Drosophila melanogaster: one gene and its partners. The protein of the gene in region 4 interacts with the protein of the main gene of each other region in a biochemical or structural test. Each region holds a gene or a part of one and is shown on either strand. Other genes may lie near its edges.

What was found.
Region 1: the proteins of dpr6 (region 4) and cDIP form a complex in vitro, tested with the Drosophila melanogaster proteins (one study listed by BioGRID).
Region 2: the proteins of dpr6 (region 4) and DIP-zeta form a complex in vitro, tested with the Drosophila melanogaster proteins (one study listed by BioGRID).
Region 3: the proteins of dpr6 (region 4) and DIP-beta form a complex in vitro, tested with the Drosophila melanogaster proteins (one study listed by BioGRID).

The regions. Positions count from the first base shown.
Region 1 is NT_033777.3:21,158,724-21,162,853, forward strand, and holds cDIP (common Dpr-interacting protein), read right to left. Parts: upstream 2,370-4,130; 5' UTR 2,332-2,369; coding exon 667-2,331; 3' UTR 515-666; downstream 1-514.
Region 2 is NT_033779.5:9,068,136-9,073,118, reverse strand, and holds the start of DIP-zeta (Dpr-interacting protein zeta), read left to right. Parts: upstream 1-1,954; 5' UTR 1,955-2,287; intron 2,288-4,983.
Region 3 is NC_004354.4:21,454,725-21,459,444, reverse strand, and holds the start of DIP-beta (Dpr-interacting protein beta), read left to right. Parts: upstream 1-1,706; 5' UTR 1,707-1,894; exon of another isoform or gene 1,895-1,979; intron 1,980-4,720.
Region 4 is NT_037436.4:9,972,916-9,977,681, forward strand, and holds the start of dpr6 (defective proboscis extension response 6), read left to right. Parts: upstream 1-1,735; 5' UTR 1,736-2,929; intron 2,930-4,766. Other genes in the region: CG42455 (uncharacterized protein), read left to right, coding at 8-86, 179-336; vnc (variable nurse cells), read left to right, coding at 361-951.

The DNA of each region.
Region 1 (4,130 bases), on a different chromosome or scaffold from region 4:
GTTTAGTTTCCGAAAATATTGGTTTTGTAATTGACTTGACTTTGTTCAATTCAACTCAAGTTCCCCGAGCCCCACCATCTTGTCTTCGCCCTCCAGTTTTCTTCTCGTTTTTCCATTTTGGTTCGCCAGCCCGAGTTGAACGAACCTCTTTCAATATCTTTCAGAAAAAGAACCCAACTTTGCTTTGCTCGAAAATCAATATTATTGTTTAAATATTATTCTACGTATACGACACAGCGAGCAATAAATATTTACTAGATGTGCTCATGTTGCAAATTGTATTGGTTTTTTGGGGTTGAGTATGCAAAATCAGCAGGGAAATGGAGCAGAAATTGTTTTCGAGATTAGGAATTGAATAGGCGTAGAAAAAAATGATATTCTAGGAAACTAAATCTTAAACAAAGACGAAAAGCCTTCCTGTTTTGTTAGATTATGGTTCCAACTTTGTATATTATCAAGAACTGGTAAAAAAAACATACACGCGAATTCTTTAGTGGAATTCTTCCAACAATTTAAAAAATGATTTATTTATTGGATCGAAAGATTTTATGTTTAAAATTAAGAAGCTTTAGGAAATACTTCAAATATTAATTATAATGTATACATATAATTGTAAAGCTTTGAAAATGTAGTGATCACATAAAAAATGGGCCATATTTAACAACTTCAAACGGACAAGGTCACTTGACTCCAAACAGTTTTGTTGAGCACTTCAAAGGCCTGAATTTGTTCATTCAATTGGGCCAGTTTACTGAATATCAAATCGAACTTGGAATCAAAGTGCTGCACCACTGCTTTCAGTTCATCGCGCAGTTTGTCCACCTCGCTGGGATCAGAACTACTTGTTATGGGCGAGGACTCTACGCTGGCGGAGATTTCCGAAGAGGAGGAGGAGTCCACACCCTCTTTTTCGGGCAAGCGATACATGCAGGCTATTCCGTGAAAGTATTCCCCCGGAAAATCGGGATCGTAGTTATCCACGGTATAGGCAATGCCATTGGCACGAATGAGCACATCCATTATGTTTCTCAGGCTGAAGCAGTTCCAGTTATTTCCATGAATATAGAAGTGCGTTAGTTGCGTGAGCGTGGGGAACGCGGATGGATCGATTTCCGTCAAATTATTGCCGGATATGTCAAGTTTCTGCAAATTTTGCATACCCTGCAACGCCTCCAGCGGCAGTTCCATCTGGCCCGTATTCCGCAGCACCAGCATCTCCAGATGTGGCGTCCGCCAACCGTCGGGCAACTGACCCAGGTTCGGATTGTCCGCCACATCCAGGTGCCGGAGTCTGGGCACGCGGCTCAACGACGCCAGCTGAACCAGCGAGTTGTTGCGCAGCACCAAATGCTCCAGTGCCTCGGAGGCGGGAAAGTACAGCTCGCGCACGCGATTGTCGCTCAGATCGACATTCGTCACCGATCCGTACAAATTGACACGGTCCAGCGAGCAATTGCGAGCGGTCAAATTGGTGGCGTTAATGTTCAGCAGTAGAACGACCAGCTCGGGGTTATTCGATAGATCCACATACTGCATCTGATGGTGTCGTCCGCGGGATCGAAAGGCATACTCGCCCACCTCTCGCAGTCGATTGTTCTGCATTGCGACCGACAAAAGGTCCGGATTGTGGGCAAATAAATCGCTCTCAATGGTGGTCAGTTGATTACCGGCCAGTCCCACGTGCCGCAGACTCTTCAGTCCGGCAAATACGTCCGCGGCTAAAGCCTCCAGGCGATTCTCTGTGAGATCCAGGTACTGTAATTTCAGGAGATTATCAAACGCACCCGCCTGCAGTTTGCCTAGTTTGTTGCGATTCAGGAAGATAAACTCCAAGTTTCCTGCTCCCCTGAAGGTTTTCGTGGGCAGCACTTCGATGTGATTATCGCTGAGCAGAAGAATCACCAGCTTATCCGCACCAATGGAGAAGTTCTCCCAGTAAATGAAGCGGATGCCACAGCCGCGCATGTCCAGCTCACTGACCTCTAGTGTGTAAAATAAGCGCAGGGGAAAATTGGTGAAGGTGCAGTTCTCGAAGATCAGGGTTCGCGAGTGCTCCTCATCGCCCACTTCGTAGGTGGTGCCATCCTCGGCAATCCGCACCTCCGTTGGCAGATCAAAGGTGGCCTTCTCGTCCTCTCCCGCAAACTCAAAGCCCCTGCAGCTGGTCACCTTGCCCTCCGTCTGGCAATGACCTTCCAAGCTGGAGACCAGCACTATTCGGGATGAGCCACTATCCACATCAGCATCCGCGTCCTCATCCGTAGTAGCTGTGGCCGCCAATGAGATCAGCAAATAGCTGCAGAGGAACGGCAGACAATTCCGGACGTACATTTGGCGTGCTCCACGATTCACGTTCGACCTGAAACTGATTCCAAACGTTGACCGCCAAACGCCTGGCCAGATAAGCTCCTCTATAATGCTCAAATAACGATCATCAGTTCTATATAATTGCCATCCCATTCTATTCATGGTGTTCTGATTTTGCGAAAATAAATATGGTTCATCTGTGGCGGGTACAGCGCATTTCGAAAATGTAAGGCAGGGTTTTTTTCTTTTTTTTGAAATCGGATTGAAATACTATTTCTATTTCGAAGAATTGAGATGCTTTGGAAATCACTGCTGACTAATTAATAGATTTAATTACAATTATTTGTCTGGGAACTCCTTTTAAAAGAAATTAACATCTTTTGCTGTACGAGAGAGATGAAAATCGGTTTGTTTTTTTTTGTACCTATCATTATTTTGACACTTGTCTGTGCTGCTTTTCCGTTTATTATTCATGATTTTTTGCTGCTCTATGGAAGTTCTCGCTCTGTTGGCTCCATTCAAAACTCACAGACTTTGAAAAAAAAAACAAAACTTTGTACAATATCTGTGGAGCAATTCCCACTCATTTCCAGTGTGTTCTCTTATCATGAAGTGTTTACTTAGCGATTTGCTGAACAAAAGGTGGAAATCTCTTTTGGCTGCTGATAGTGGACATGAGGCCAGACATTCGCCCATTTTTATGTAAGAGTATTTTCATTGGGGCCCATCCATCTTTGGCTTTTACCATCGAAAATATAGGCGCGTGGAAACGTTGCTTAAAATACCTTCTATATAATTTACACAACAGCCATTTAGCATTTTGTTGGCACTGCCTTGCGTTGTGTAGTTTTGCTGATGATTGCCCGAATGACTCATTATTTATCAGGCGAACAATTCAGTGGAGGGCATTTGAGTTTCGGTTTGATAAGAGCAAACGAACTTCCGTTAACTACTTTGTCGTCTGCATTTATTCCTAGTCTTATTTTTAAAGCAATCAGGCAAGAATGTAGGCACCTTTACACGAAAAACATTCGTAAATATAGCGAAACCAGAACTTTCGCCTGCGAAGCGGTGACATGTCCAGTGGAAAAATGTGTAAAATATTTAGCCAATTATTTAGCCAACATGCCAGCGGTTTTGAGAACACGTTCAACCTGCTTTCTCAGTCGTTCAATTTGCCAGTTGCAGCTTAGCGGGCGAAAACAAAAAGATTATGACAGGTAGAGCCTTATTAATTTGTATGCAAACAAATTTATACGCTTGTTGAAATGTTAAAAATTAATTTTCCATTCGTTTGCGTTGGGATTTTCTCGGCTTTGGCCGCCTGGGCAAACAAACAATTTGAATATCGATGGCTAATTTTTTTCACTTTATGTATTCACAATTGATCTGCCTGTTTGCATTGGGCTTATTATGAGCCAATGGCTTTTAAATTACTCGACTCAAGACGACTTTTGTTCTTTGCATGGCATTTGCCATAGCTGTATCTGTATCTATTGTAGCTGTGTATTGTATCTCAATTGAAACGGCATGACTTCGTTTAGCGTCTTTTTTTCACTTTTTCGCCTGTGCCCCCTTTGTTGAATTCAATTTGCCGCAATTACTTTGCATACAAGTTTCGAGAAATAAAAAAAAAAAAACAAAGAGTGAAAATTACCAGGCTTTTATTCTGTCGAGACTTTGTCCCCGCCGTCTGTACTTTATTCAAATCAAATTCGCCCAATAGTTTAGCAGTGTAAACAAATGCGATATAGAAATATATTAAATCAGAACATATAGCGCACCATTTTACGCCTCTATTGTGGGTGCTTTTATATGGCGCC
Region 2 (4,983 bases), on a different chromosome or scaffold from region 4:
ATATCCCAAATATAAATCTTACCAGACAAGCCGGGGCAAAACTTTGCCGATAGTATTCCCCAAACTATTTTACCTCATTTGGGCAGTCCTTAGCAGAGAGACTAGACTGCAGGGCATACTTAACCAAAGTCGCAGACAAACTGCAAAAGAAATTGTGAATATATCTACACAGGAAAACAGGAACCAAACTTTCCATTTTCAATTTGCTGCAGACTTTGGCTAAGTACCAGAGAAGGAGGTCCAATATTTCCGACCGGTTTTGTATACTTTTTTTCCATTTTGTTTAGCTCTGTCTACTTAAACTCGCATTGAACTGGAAGAATAACATTGAACAGCAAACAATCAGCAGTCAAAAATTTCATTGTTAAGGCGGCAGCGGGAAAAAATAGCAAAACAAGTAGAGGGGAAAAACAGGAAACTTTCGGACAAGGCGTGAAAAATACAAAAAGACTGGGAAAGAGAGAAAAAAACTTTTTCCATGGTGAGAAAAACTTTACAAAGCAGCCAACAAAGTGTTGTAATGGCTGGCATCCAAAGGGATCCCCCGTCCAACGCTTGACTTTTGACCCAACGAAGCGAATGTGTTGCAACGACCTTTGTGGCCTTTCCGCCTCCGCCTCCTCATTCGCCATCACCTAATCCACCCGCTCCACCCACTCTTCCTGTTTTGGTCACATCCTGGCGCAACAGTCGACCACGCCCACTCGCCGCCCTATCACCTCTGGGATTCCCCCCACAATGAACTTGCCAAGCGATGGTGCACGTTTCTCCTTGGGTGTGTGGTGTGTAGAGGAATCCCAGGGAGAGGGTCACAGAGCAGTCATCTTGTCTGCCGTCTAGCCTTGTCAGTTTTAATGTTTTTGGCATTGAGCGATGTCTGTGATTTGAAAGAGTTCATTAAGATAGTTCAGTATGGCCAACAGGGAGAATTCATCACTCTCATATCGCATACAATCCGTCTATATATAGACTAACTTTCAGACGGATATGCATCGTTTTTTTTTCCTTCTGCACAACTGACCAGTGCTTGTCGAGATGATTACAGTGCCCTTAAAACAAGGTCTAGTTAAAAAATAGCAAAACTTTTTTCGTGCACCTAATTTAATAGGATAAAATCATCATGAAATACTTCAAAAAATAAGTAACTAAAAATATTATCTGTCTAACCATTCAAAAATACCACTGTTAACTTTGAAAAGAACTTCTTAATTAACCGTCTACCAACTGACAACCAGCTTTGCTAGCTCAGTCAGTCATAAAACGCAATTATCACCCTCAATTAGATGGTCCTGCATCAGCGAAAATCGAATAAGCAACGCTTGCAAATTGAATATCTCAAATTAATTGCACTTTTTTCGCTCAACATACGCACATGGACTTGAAATGAAATGCAAATAAATTTAATTAACTTGTCTAATTAAATACTTGGCTCCAAATAGCAATATGCAGCAACCAACGGAAAGCAAAAATGTGTTTTGATTTTGTTTTCATTTTATCTTAATTCAATTATTATTAAAAGGGTACAGCTTCAGCCGGAACGAGCCAAAAAGGTTCGACGGCGGAATCGGCATGCAACTCGAACTTTGAGAGGTGATTTTGGGGCATGGTGTTGCAGGTTGGACTCTGTTAACATTTTTGTCGCGTGTTTTGCGGTCTGTTGTTGTGGTTGCGGTTGCACGCAAACAACAAGCCTCCGAACATAACAAGGATACCGGACATAACCAGCAACCGGCAGCAACAACTACCAATGAACAGCATCCAGCGTCCTTTGGTTGGCTTAAACCGAAGCTACACTTCGGCTCGCTCTGTCGGCCGTCGGCTCGTCCCCGCCTGTTATCACTCGGCCAACGCGGCGTATACGTAACAGCACTTCCCATTCGTTAGATTTTCCCTTATTGTTGTTGGTGGAAAGCCAGAGCCCGGCTCTGTGCGAGCATTAGGTTTCGTCGGCAAATCAGTTTCGCTACGGATTCTGCACGAAGCGGACGCGTTTTATCGGTGTTACACTGAAAGATCCCCGGCAAAGGGAAAGTCGTACTCAAGTGTCATGTGATCGATGCCAAATTAGAAGCACCTGACTCAATGTGATCGTGTTGAGAAATGACTTAAAAGTCGAGCTAAAAAACTTAGGTCCACTTGATTATAAAATTTAAAAAAATACCAAAACTTGTAAGCGTTTTATTGAAAGATTACAATTTGTAAAAGTGGTTGAAAACTTGGTATATCATACGTAACACAAAACTAACCTACAGAATTAAATATTCACAAAAATATTCTTGTAGTTACAGTATGTAAATTAATTATTTCAATACATGCAATTCATACTATTAAGGTCTTAAACAGAAGAACAATTTGATCATCGGAAAAGTCTTTTTTATTAATAATTCATAGAATAGAATAGAAACTTTATAAAAATATGGAATTTTAAATTTAACAAACTTTAGATATTATTTATAAATATCAGTGACAGAAGTATATTAAATCGAAAGTTCCAACAATTTTTAAAAGTGCGAGTGCCGGTTAGGATAAGTAATTATAAGCTATGTTAAAAATTGAAAATGCAATAAGGAGTTGGTTTAATGCGTTTGTTTCGTTACGCTATATATTATATTTATGTATAAAATCTTAATTACAATATATAATGTAAAAGGTTTATGTTTGGGACTGCAGATCATTCAAATGCAATTAAAGACTTCGATTTATCTTAGTGCGAGTATTTCAAATAACTGAACTCCATTTAATGGTTAACCACAGCTACAATCCAGACCACAAACTCACATGTCACTTGTCAGGCCCTCGAAATGGGTAAACAATTAACAGTTAACTCTGCTAATGCACATTTCATGCCAACAAAAAGTAAACAAACAGCGAGACTATCTCCAGGACCCTCGAAGTCCTTAAATCCCGAAAACTGGCAGACACGCACACAACGCCATTCTTCAATCTGTGAAAAATTCCCAAACAAACTTATATGCGAATAAATGAATCCACTAGAGTTCACTTTGGGACAACTCGCAAAAAAAATAGTCGAAGGGGAAATTTGTTGCGATTGATAAAGGACAGCAGTTGTTGCCACTGCAACGCAATGCACAACACACAAACACAACCGAAAACAGCAAGGCAAATATAAACAAAGAATTTAGCTTAAAAATACATTAACCCACTGCATCCATGAGAATCAGGATATGCAGGGAAAAGGGCCAGGACCCGACTGCCAACTGCTGAAAACTTGCATACTTAATGGAGTAGGAGATAGAGACAGACAACGCAGAGAGTACAGTGGGGCCTATGTGTTACTGGACACAACTGTATTCCAAATGCAGAATAAGTCTTTGAGTATGAATATTGTCAAAGCTCATTGTAAACGTTTCTTAGCATTTTGTTACAATTTATTAAAAAAAAAAAATATTAAAGAGAAATATTTAATTACAGTATACAACATTGGAAACTAATAGAAATTGTTGTAAAAATACTTTACATAATTTATTCAATATACCAAGACTTAGAATGGATCCACCACTAATATCAATATATCGGTTCTTATGGTCCAAATATTTTAATTCCATTTAATATATAATTAAGATTTAAATTATTTCATATTTATAACATATGTGAAATGATTCATTTTGTTGGGTATCCACTGTACAATGGTATGTTTTGCATTCAGGCATCATTGCAGATCAATGGCAATATGGAGCTGATACAGTTTGAGTAAGACACGTAAACACACAGAGCAGAAGAAGGATGGGAAACTCATGGATGTCAGCTGTTTCAGAACTTTTTTCAAAAGCTAGTGAAGAGAGGGCTTATTGGTTCTTTATTTATTTCCATCTTTTTTGAATTCTTTTTTGAGTTCAGCTTTGTTGCGTTTTGTTTGCTCGAGTTCGGTTTGACGTTTGCAGTTACAGGAACTTTACAAATTGTGTAGAGTAAAACAAACAAAATAGCAAAACTTTGATGCTGCTGATGATGATGTCGAAAATATGTGTGAGCTTTGATCATAAGTGCATATTTATTGGTGCGTTTATTTGGTAAATTTAGTTTCTATATTGCACTTCTGAAAATATAATAGAGTACTTTATCCAGATAAAATCAGAGTTAAATTGAGTCTAGTTAAGCTTGTATTATCCGAATAAATAGTAACGTGAACTAACGAATTTTCGATAAGGGAGAGATGTAAGTCCTTAAATAAAACCAAATTAAATCGGAATTTTATTTTCATGTATTTGTATTGTTTGCTGCCAAAATATAAGTGATAGGTAACAGGCACAACCTTTCTAGCTTGCTTCTTCTTTGAAGAACCTTTTAATGTAAATAAATTCGGCCATAGGTAAACATATCTTAATTCAATTTCGGCCTCCTTTGTGCTGCTTTCTTTTCTCCCTTCAATTACCACAAAACCATGAAGGTTAAAAGCTGTCAGGCATTTATAGAAGCTTAGGAGAAATCCCCTGAGAGCTAGGAACATTTTTTTTGGGCTAATGACTATGTCAGGATTAATTTACGTTTACACAGAATCTTTTAAAAAGAAAATTTAAACACCCAATAAAAAATATTATAATGGCTATGAACTTAGTCAGCATAAACAAATAAATGTTATTGTCTCTTTCATCTACGCACCCGTTTAGTTAAGTCCCTTTAATCCCGCAACAATTATAAGCCAATTTGTTTTACCAAAAAGTTATCATTATAAAAACAGCAAAAACCAAACAAACACTAAATAGCCCCATTAAAATTTAATTTCCTAGCATAAAAATACAAGAAAAACACATTCGGAACAAGTTTCTCCCTCAACAATTTATTAATTTAATTACAAACACTTTGCCAAACTCATAAAAAAGTGCATAAAATTTGTTGGACTTCTTGTTCTTGTTTCTGATGGTAAATCTGTTTCGGTCCATACCAAAAAAGCTTTATCATGTGTGCGTGGTTTTTGGGGGAAGAGGTGGAGTCAAAATTGCTTAATTTCATAAGCGAGTCATA
Region 3 (4,720 bases), on a different chromosome or scaffold from region 4:
AACTGGAACCATAATGACCCCACAACACAAGAAGTTAGGCACATTCTAAGTTCTCACCCAAAAAAAATCACCTTACTCTGGGTTCCCAGTCATCAAGGTATTCATGGGAATGAACTTGCTGACAAAGCCGCCCAAGAGATGAGGCTTACACCATCAATCCTGTTCACTCCGTTTAACTCCAAGGACCTAAAAAGTCGAATCAAGTTATACCTCAAAGAAAGGAAACTCTCCGAATGGGCACTCTTCATGCACAGGTACCAGTCTATCAATCCGAATTGCATCATGTTCAAGCCACCAACGAACGTACATAAACGGGAATGCGCGACCTTTATCCGTCTACGCATCGGGCACACCCAATCCACACATCAACACTTACTGACGAGATCGGCGCGACCAACATGCCAACTATGCGGGGACGAGCTCACCGTTGACCATATTCTCAACGCCTGCAGTCAATTGCACTCAATTAGATCTCACTTATTTGGTACACATAGTCTCTCGAATTGTTTAAGTATCCCATCCTGTGAAAATATCTCAAAAATTTACAAATTTGTCCAAAAAGCTAAGTTTATTATATAAAGCAATTAACCCATAAGTCTCGAGTCGAAGGCCCCCGTAGCTAGTACTCATTAAATTTAATTAGGTTTAGTATTGTATACTATATTTAATTTTGTTAAATAAATAAATAAAATAAGATGATGTGCTCAAAACAAGTTTTGTTACCTAACCTAGCTAAGAAACAATGCAATCTGGAGTCGTTGACAAGTATGTATGTAACAGAAGCAGAAGGAAGTGTATAAAAACTAGTGACTAGTCTTACAAGTTATCTTCAAACGTTATAGTTACAGTTGTCGTTAATGTCTAGCTAAAATGTTCCTATTTTTTCAACAACAAAAACTGCCTTAATCGAACTATTGCAACCTATGTAAAGTAAATTAAGTAAAAGTTAAGTCTATTGAGACTTCTGCTTGCTTCCACCTTTCCATCTCCCTTGCACAGTCCTTAGGTGATTAATAAATATCCGATAGTCGCATTCATTAAAATCTTTTTTTGGAAATTTAATTAATATGTTTTAAAAAGTGATCAAGCAAAATAAAGATATATTTTCTAACGTTCGATTTATTTTCAATATGCTTTCGTCTTTCTTTGACTTTTCCTAATTTTTTGCACAAGGTAAGGCTTAAAATATCGTCAAAAGTCGGCTGATATAAATTCTATATGTATTCCAAAACAGCTAACAATGTTATATCCCATTTGAAAAATGATGAAAGCGAACAACCGAAAAACTAGCTCTTGGTAAAACATACAGCCTTTTATATTTCAGCAATTGGTTTCTGTATAACTTTAACTCGTTTTTCTTTTCTTTTAGAATGTTTTTCAACCAATAATAATCAACTGGGCAAAACTAACCACTTATGCAGATCTCTGCGTTTTAAGTTAAGGCAATTGCTCTAGTAAATTTACCAGCTTCTAAATGTTGCTGGCAACATGTTGCCAGAGGACAAGCACTGACGCCTTCGTCCGCCACACGAGCTCGTCCTTCGGAAGCATTTCGGCTGGCCTCGGGATGGCAGGCACGGGACACGGGACTCCACAGTGCCAGGACATCGGAAGTCGGGAAATTGGGAAATCGGGATGGCCGTGCTGCCGAAGGACGAGCACATTGCGCTGGGTCGGCCCAATGCGAAACGCGCTTGGTGCGACAGGTTCAGTGCTCGGGCAACTTCCTAGCGCGTCGGTTCAGTTCAGTCCAGTGGATTCGAGACACGAAAGGACTCAGTTTCAAACTAAAAATTCCAAAGTTTCGAAAACGGGTTTCGAGTGGCGCGAAACAACAACGATACAATGATACAATTACTCTAGCTGAAAGTCGAGAGAAGAGTTTTTGACAAGTGTTAGTTGATTATTTTCAAGTTTTTTTTTAGTGTTGGCCAGTGCTTTGGACTAGTTTCGAAGCTTTGCTTGTTTTTTCGAACAAGGTAATTCTAAGACCCAAAAATTCAAAAGTTTTTCGCGAAGCATACGATGTGAGCTGTGACTGCGTATTTAGAAATTACTACACTAGTGAGGTGAAGCCAATCCCTCGTTTAGTCCTTTACTCCATTGCCCGTCGATCGCTGCCTAAATCATTTCACATACGCTTGTTCACTCATTTGTCAATTGCATTATCGGTGGTATGTTAGCATTCCCTTTCTTTTCTCAGCCTTTCAACCAATTGTTACACCAATCGAGTTGTTTTCTTGCGAATTCTCTCGACTGTTCATGAGTGAATTCCTTTTCAGTTCATTGAATTTCTATGTCCTTTCCGTTTTCTAACATTAACTTTCTTTGTTTGCATTTATGTGAGTCACTCGTCACTCGTTGGAATCCTTTATTCTCGTTTCTTGTTTTCAGTAAATAAAACAGTTGATTTGCCAAGTTGCAAATTAACTTTTGCCAGTTTTTTTTCCCAAAAACAACTATCTTTATACCTTCGTGTGGGGAAAATGTAGTCACCTTTTATGGTCAAAATCATATCGTACATTTTGTCGCATACTAACGATTTGATAAATTGTTTAACATAATTATAAAACTGTCAGCTTGTGTTCTTTTCGTTTTTAATTGTTTGTAATTATATATTTTATATAATATGATAGCATACATTACACATTGCAAAAATTAAGTAAGGTTTTCAATATCTTTTTTAGTGGTTTGTAAGACGATCCGAATTCAATTTTATTTTAAATCCGGTATCCATGTATTGCTTTGAACCCTTTTTGTGTTTCTGATTTCCTTCAAGAACTTTCACCCACCTGAACTTTAAAACCCCATTCAATCTCTCGCTCATCCCTCGCCATCCGCCACCAGTTTGGCACATTCTTGAGGTACCTTTTCTGGAAGACTCCTCCGAAACTTTTTGCCATCGAACAAAAGGCGCCAAAATGAGACTGCAGCATCCAACTAGCAGGCCAAGTTTTTAGTTGGCAATGATTTATGTTTTATTAATATTAAAAGTGATTTATTAGCCATGAAATTTGTGAGCCAACTTGGTCGTTGGCCCTTATTCGACCAGGTGAAGGGAGTGCTGGCTGCATGCGCGATTTTTTAATTACAGATGGAGTGGGACAGGGAGTACTGTCCAGCTGCAGGCTCCATTATCCTTAAGCGCGGACCTGGCCGCTCATTATCCCGACGTCCGAACTTAAGCTAAACTGCTGCACAGCGAGATTAAAATTGTAAATGACAGCCAGCGTGACAGGACAAGGAAGGAGCAGGCATCTGCTCGTCCTTTAATGTCCTGCGCCGTCCAGCCACGCCCCTCTGCGCCCCTCTGCGACCCTGTTCGCAACCATCCGCTCCCCACCCACCAGCCGTCGCATTTTGTCGTGTTTTTAATGAAAATTAATTAATTAAATAACGTTTTTACTCATTCGCATCGCCTTGCCCAGCAATTGTCTTCCCTTGTGCGCAGGTGTGCGTGTGAGGATGCATTTTATATTAAATAATGAAGTGTGTAAAATGTATGCAGTGGCACACAAAAAGAGCAAAGAGGCAAATGAAAGGGCTTTATGCGGCAAATGTAAATTTGGACCTTTTTGGGCACAGGAAATCTCAAGCTTCAAAGTGCACAGAGAAAATTGTAAACGCAATTTTCCAAAATCTTTATTAATGGTTTTTTTTTGGGAAACTTTACTTTGGGAACGTAATTAATTTTATTATTGGTCTCGAATAATCAAAATTTATGTGCAACATTTTGTCATTATATTTGGGAACCCTTTTTGCAAAATGTATACAATGCATACTTCCGAAATACCTAATTTTTTTTGTTTGCCTGTCGAGAAATTCCCCGAAACTTCCCAAAGCCATTGCCAAATTTTGGCATCTCGGTCAACACAAAAAAAGTCATGCACTTCAGTTAGCATTAATTTGAAATTTGACTGAGACTCATCTCGATTCCATCTGGTTAACCGGAACCAAGGCAAGAAGCTTCGCGACTCCTTGTCCGCCGTGTCTAGTGGTTAATCAACTAATATCTTATAAAATCCGAATGGAATCCATCCGAATTCATAATAGAAAAGGGATCTTTGGTTTTGTGCTGCGTCTGGGAGATTGGAAATATTTCTCGATCTTTGTACTGAGCACAGAGGAATTGTGTGCGAGTTCTGCGCCTATGGAACTATTTGTATTGGTCTGAACTGACCCTGAACTGGCTCACATTGGAACCGAAATATATGATGATCTCCAAATTTAATTATCAGAAATGAATTTGAAACACTTCCACATATAAACTCAGTTACTTAGAGTAAACGTAGTCACTTAAAAGAACCTGAGTACTTAATTATAAATTTAAAAAAGGTTTTAAAATATTATTTTTCTAATTATCTTGCAAGCCCCTACAGAACGCCAAAGACATTTTTGCTTGGCGCCCATAAGCCTAGAACCTGTCTGCTTTTCAGATTCAGGCTTTAAATCTTGTTGAAGGTGGAGGGGAATATTTCATTATCACTATCCATTCACATGCCAAAAATTGTTTGCATCCACTCATTACAATGTTACCGTCAAAATAATGTATGCCACATCCTCCATTTACCTAGCCCTTAGGGGTATAATTAAAAATGAGTTCTAATTGAAACTGTAGTTTGCCCTCATAATACATTTACTTTTCAAGCTACTTTGTCTCCGATTCTGACGAACCTTTTGAGACTTTAAAAGGATATTTAAATGTCGGCTTATTGGGTCT
Region 4 (4,766 bases):
CGTTAGAATGTCCCTGCAAACGGGCTTGGCTTTCATTTTCACCATATTAGCCTCTGTTAGTATCGTCGCAGCAATTATTTTGTTGGGTAAGCAGGCGCCCGCAGACGATCACGTTATAATGGAAACAATTTTCTACGATCCGAGCAACAAGTCATATTGAAATTTGTCTATTTTGCAGGCTGGTTCCTCATCTGGAAGGCGTTTCTATCGAAATTTCGTCTGGTTCGAGAGCTGTTGGGTCAGGAGGAGCCGGAGGATCAGCAACCACTTGCTTGGGATCATCAGAATCAACAGCCACACCACCACGGCAGAGCCAGGAAAGCTCGCCGAGACTAGGAAGCACATCTACACAGCCTCACCATGAACATCCGCTGCGCAAAACCGGAAGACCTAATGACCATGCAGCACTGCAATCTGCTGTGTCTACCCGAAAACTACCAGATGAAGTACTACTTTTACCACGGACTAACCTGGCCTCAGCTTAGCTACGTGGCCGTTGACGACAAGGGCGCCATTGTGGGCTATGTCCTGGCCAAGATGGAGGAGCCGGAGCCCAATGAGGAGAGCCGCCATGGGCACATCACCTCGCTAGCGGTCAAGCGTTCCTATCGGCGATTGGGCCTGGCCCAGAAGCTCATGAATCAGGCCTCCCAGGCCATGGTCGAGTGCTTCAATGCCCAGTACGTGTCCCTGCACGTGAGGAAGAGCAATCGGGCTGCCCTGAACCTCTACACCAACGCCCTCAAGTTCAAGATCATCGAGGTGGAGCCCAAGTACTATGCCGATGGCGAGGATGCATATGCCATGCGACGCGACCTCAGCGAGTTTGCCGATGAGGATCAGGCCAAGGCTGCGAAGCAGTCAGGCGAGGAGGAGGAGAAGGCGGTCCACAGATCCGGCGGACATGGCCACTCGCACAACCACAGCGGTCACGATGGCCATTGTTGCTGAACACTTTCGCTGCCGGCGCTTGCTGGCTTCGACGTTTTTTGCATTTTTGTGCATTAGGGTTTTGTAATTATTTAACAATAAAAAACGTAACTAAAATTAAAACAAAAGTAATGACAAAAAGATAATGTTTTTAACAATAAAGGGTTTGAAGGCCATTAAATCAGTAATAATAATACTATTTACGGTTTCTGTTTCTAATTGCCAATCTAAAATGCATAAATGCATTAAACACCTATTAAGACGAATTTTTTGATTTTATTTTGAGTAGAGTTTTAGAAGAGAGTGGTTTTCTAAACTCCCCAAATAATTTATAATATCTACCATTCTTTTGTGCTAGAGCTCTGGTTAACCCAAGTAATGCGAAAATTTATGCCAAATGTGGGTTAAAAAATGTGCGCTTTTTGTAATGTGAAAAGTTTGTTGGCCCGAAAAGTTGGCCAAGCGGAAAGATGTCTTTATGTGCGAAGTGTTGACTTTCGCGCCAACTTTTGGGTGCCATCAAGTTGTAGGTGTCGTGTTGGTGGAGAAACTTTTATGGCATATGAAAATAGCTAGCAACCGTTCCCACTAAACCGATTTTCCAGTAACGGAGCTTTCTAATTTCCCAGTTTCCCGCGGCGAGCTCCTTTTGCGCATGCTCAGTGGAACATCTGCGGCAACAGCTGTTCGCTAGCCACGTGGAGTACGGTACTTTTCCGGATGGCGCCAAAGAGAGAGAGCGAAAGTACCGCAATCACAGCTGAGCTGAGATGCTGGCTTTTCGCGTATTTCGCCGTTCTTAAACTCAGTTCGTGAGGCGCTGGCTGAGCAAAAACAACATGTATGCGGATGTTTTATCAGTTTTCGGCTAGCTACGTAAAACGTGCGCAAAACCCAAATCGGAACTTCAGCTATTGTAGTGAAAAGTGCTAATAAAACCCTAACGGTAAAACCACTCTTTACAACGGGAGAAGAGGAAGAACGAAGGAAGTAGTGCTACTGCTACTGATGGGTTATAAAAAACTAACGGGAAATGACTGGCATTTATTATGATTGTGGAAAAAACGCCCTGCCAAATCAATAAAAAACGCGGAAACAACAAACAATAAACAATTCGTTAGTGAAAAGCGCCGTTAAACATATGGAACTGTGAATGTGTTGAGGGAAAGTGCTTAAAGTTCCAACGGTAAACATACTTTATTGATGCGAAAGTTAAAGCCAATTGATAACCCCAATCGAATGAGAGCCTGATTTGTATTATATTTGCGGGCTATAACGCCTTGCTAAATCAATAAAAGCCAGGGCACTTCAGCAAACCCTTCATTCGGGCAATCCTCAGAACCCTCAAAACAGTCACGGACATAAATGTAAGCGCTTTTGGTGTTGAAAAGCCAAAAAGCCGGCCAGTGGTTCAAAAAGCCGGAGAATGGAAGCCAAGCCTCTGCTCTTCTCGTGTTGTTATTGTCGAAACGGGGTCAAAAGTTCGTGTCTCACTCGCTAATTCAACCACACAAAAAAGCGCACACACACTCGCACACTCGTACACCACCCAGATAACGGTTCCTCAAGTGCAAGCAAAGACACTGCGTCGCCCGTCTGGCAGAAAAGCATGAAAAAAGCATAAGAAAAGCATAGTAAAGCAGAAGAAAAGCAGACAAAAGCATTAGCCAAGTGCCAAGTAACTCAAAACTGCAGGCCTACCAAAGCCAGGGGAAAACCCACATACATACATACATAAATATGTATTTGGAAAACAACACCAAATCGCAGACAACAAACTAGGCCAAATTCCGCGGGGAAGCGGGAGAAAGCTCAATTGAAAAGTGCTCTGAAAATGAAGAGAAGTAAAATATAATAAAAATAAAACAATAGAAGTTCTCTGGCCATTTGTCAATGACTGGGCCACTCGCGTGACTGGCGATCCTCGGGGAAAGTGGAATAACTGCAGCTGCAACAGACTCCAGACTACGGCAAAAGGACTATTTCGAAAAATATTGTGGTAAGTCAACAGGATTTAGGCGGGCACTTTGCAGTAAAAGGTACCAGCTACATTACACCAATTATTGCAAAGTTTCCATCAAATTATATTGAAAAAAAATATATAACGTGTTAGGCTAGATAACATAAAGTTTAAATGAAAACAGATAGATAATGCGGTACTGTATCACATTTATCATATTCTATACATTTATGCAAGTAACTCACAAAAAATCCATTCGCAGTAATTTGCCAAGAATGCCAGAAGTAACGCCAACAATTTCTCGGGTTATTTAAATATGACTGTAATTTGAGCAAATGTCTCTTGAAAACTTATTTTCCCTTGATATGAAAATACACAGACTTCAGCGCACATGCTATCTGTACGAACTTTTCCTCACTTGTCAGCGGGAAGGCATATTTATTTATTTAAGTTTGCAGTGCCTTTTCCGCCTTCGCCGAAAACTTCAAAAGGCAACTCCACTATGTGTGGATGGTGTAATGACATTTTGTCAGCAGGATTATGCCAAATGCTGGCCTCCATCCCAACATCCCCTCATCGCCCTGCTGATGATGAGCCCCAAACATAACCATCGTCGTCGTCGTCATCATTGTCTTTGTCACTGTCAACGCGTCTTGCATCTGTCAGTGGCAGCAGAAGCATCCGATCCCCAAACGCCAGTCCCCCAATCTACCCCGCCCACCAAGAAAACCATCCAAAAACCCATCCCATTTCGAAATTCTTGTTCTTTCGTAGGGGTTCGCATCATTTTTAAGCAAACATTTGCCGTAGCTTCAGTTCTGGTCCTTCCTTCTCTTTGGCACTACTGGCTGTTTGTTCGTGTTGTTTCTGCTGCTCCCGTCAAGTGTTTACTACTTTTTGTGTGCTGTTCTGTGTGTTTTTGTTGCTGCCGACTGGCGGTACGTGTTGGCTCACAAGATGTCAACAACTTTGCTTGCCACTCGCTGAAAAACGCCAGCTTTCTTGCAGAGCAGCGCAGGGTACCGCATCTGCTTTTGTTTTTTTTAATGCTGCTTTTTCTAGCCACGTTGATGAAATTAGCAATTTGATTAATTTCCTCCTTTCTATTTTTTTTTCCTTTCCTTAATTTTTAGAACATGAATACAAATAAGAAAAGTATTGTCTTGAAGAAATTCCGATATACATAGGCAAATCAACATTCTCTAAAACATATAATCTTATTTATTTGTTCTATCCATAAGCTTGTTTCATAGCCAGACCACAATTTCAAAGAACTTTTGCATGATGCTTGTAGGATAGTTTAAGTAATAAGTTAATAAGACTTGAATGCCTATTGATCCGCTGTAGAGCAATGTATCTGTGTTTTGTTGCATAGGCGACAGGCGCAGCTGTCAAAATGCTTAGCAATGGCCACGTGGCATCCGTTGGCGTTTCCGCTTGCCATTTCCGTTTCCGCTGGCCGGCTCTCTGGTCATCTCTCTCTCTGACGCAGGCAAGCAAAGGTGATTGATGGCCGCACTCGCACTACTAATTAAGGTTATTTAGCGAGTGCTCCTGGCCGTGGCCATTTTTCATTCCCGACGCGTTCTCGTTTTGTGCGGCTGTGGTCGTTCTACTCCAAGTGTTTATGGCTTCAATTCAATTAAACAACTGGGTCAGTTGTGGTCGCATTGGCACAAGGGCTTCCGCATCCGCATCCGGATCCGCATCCCCGTCGGGATGGCGGGAATCAACTTTCAGCGGCGTAATTAATTCTCCGACTGGGCCATCGGAGGACAAAGACGCATCATAAGTAAGGCGGCGGCAAAACAAGAAATAGAGCTGCCAGCAAATTGCATTTATAATTCATTTACTCGAAATTAAATATTTCTTTAAA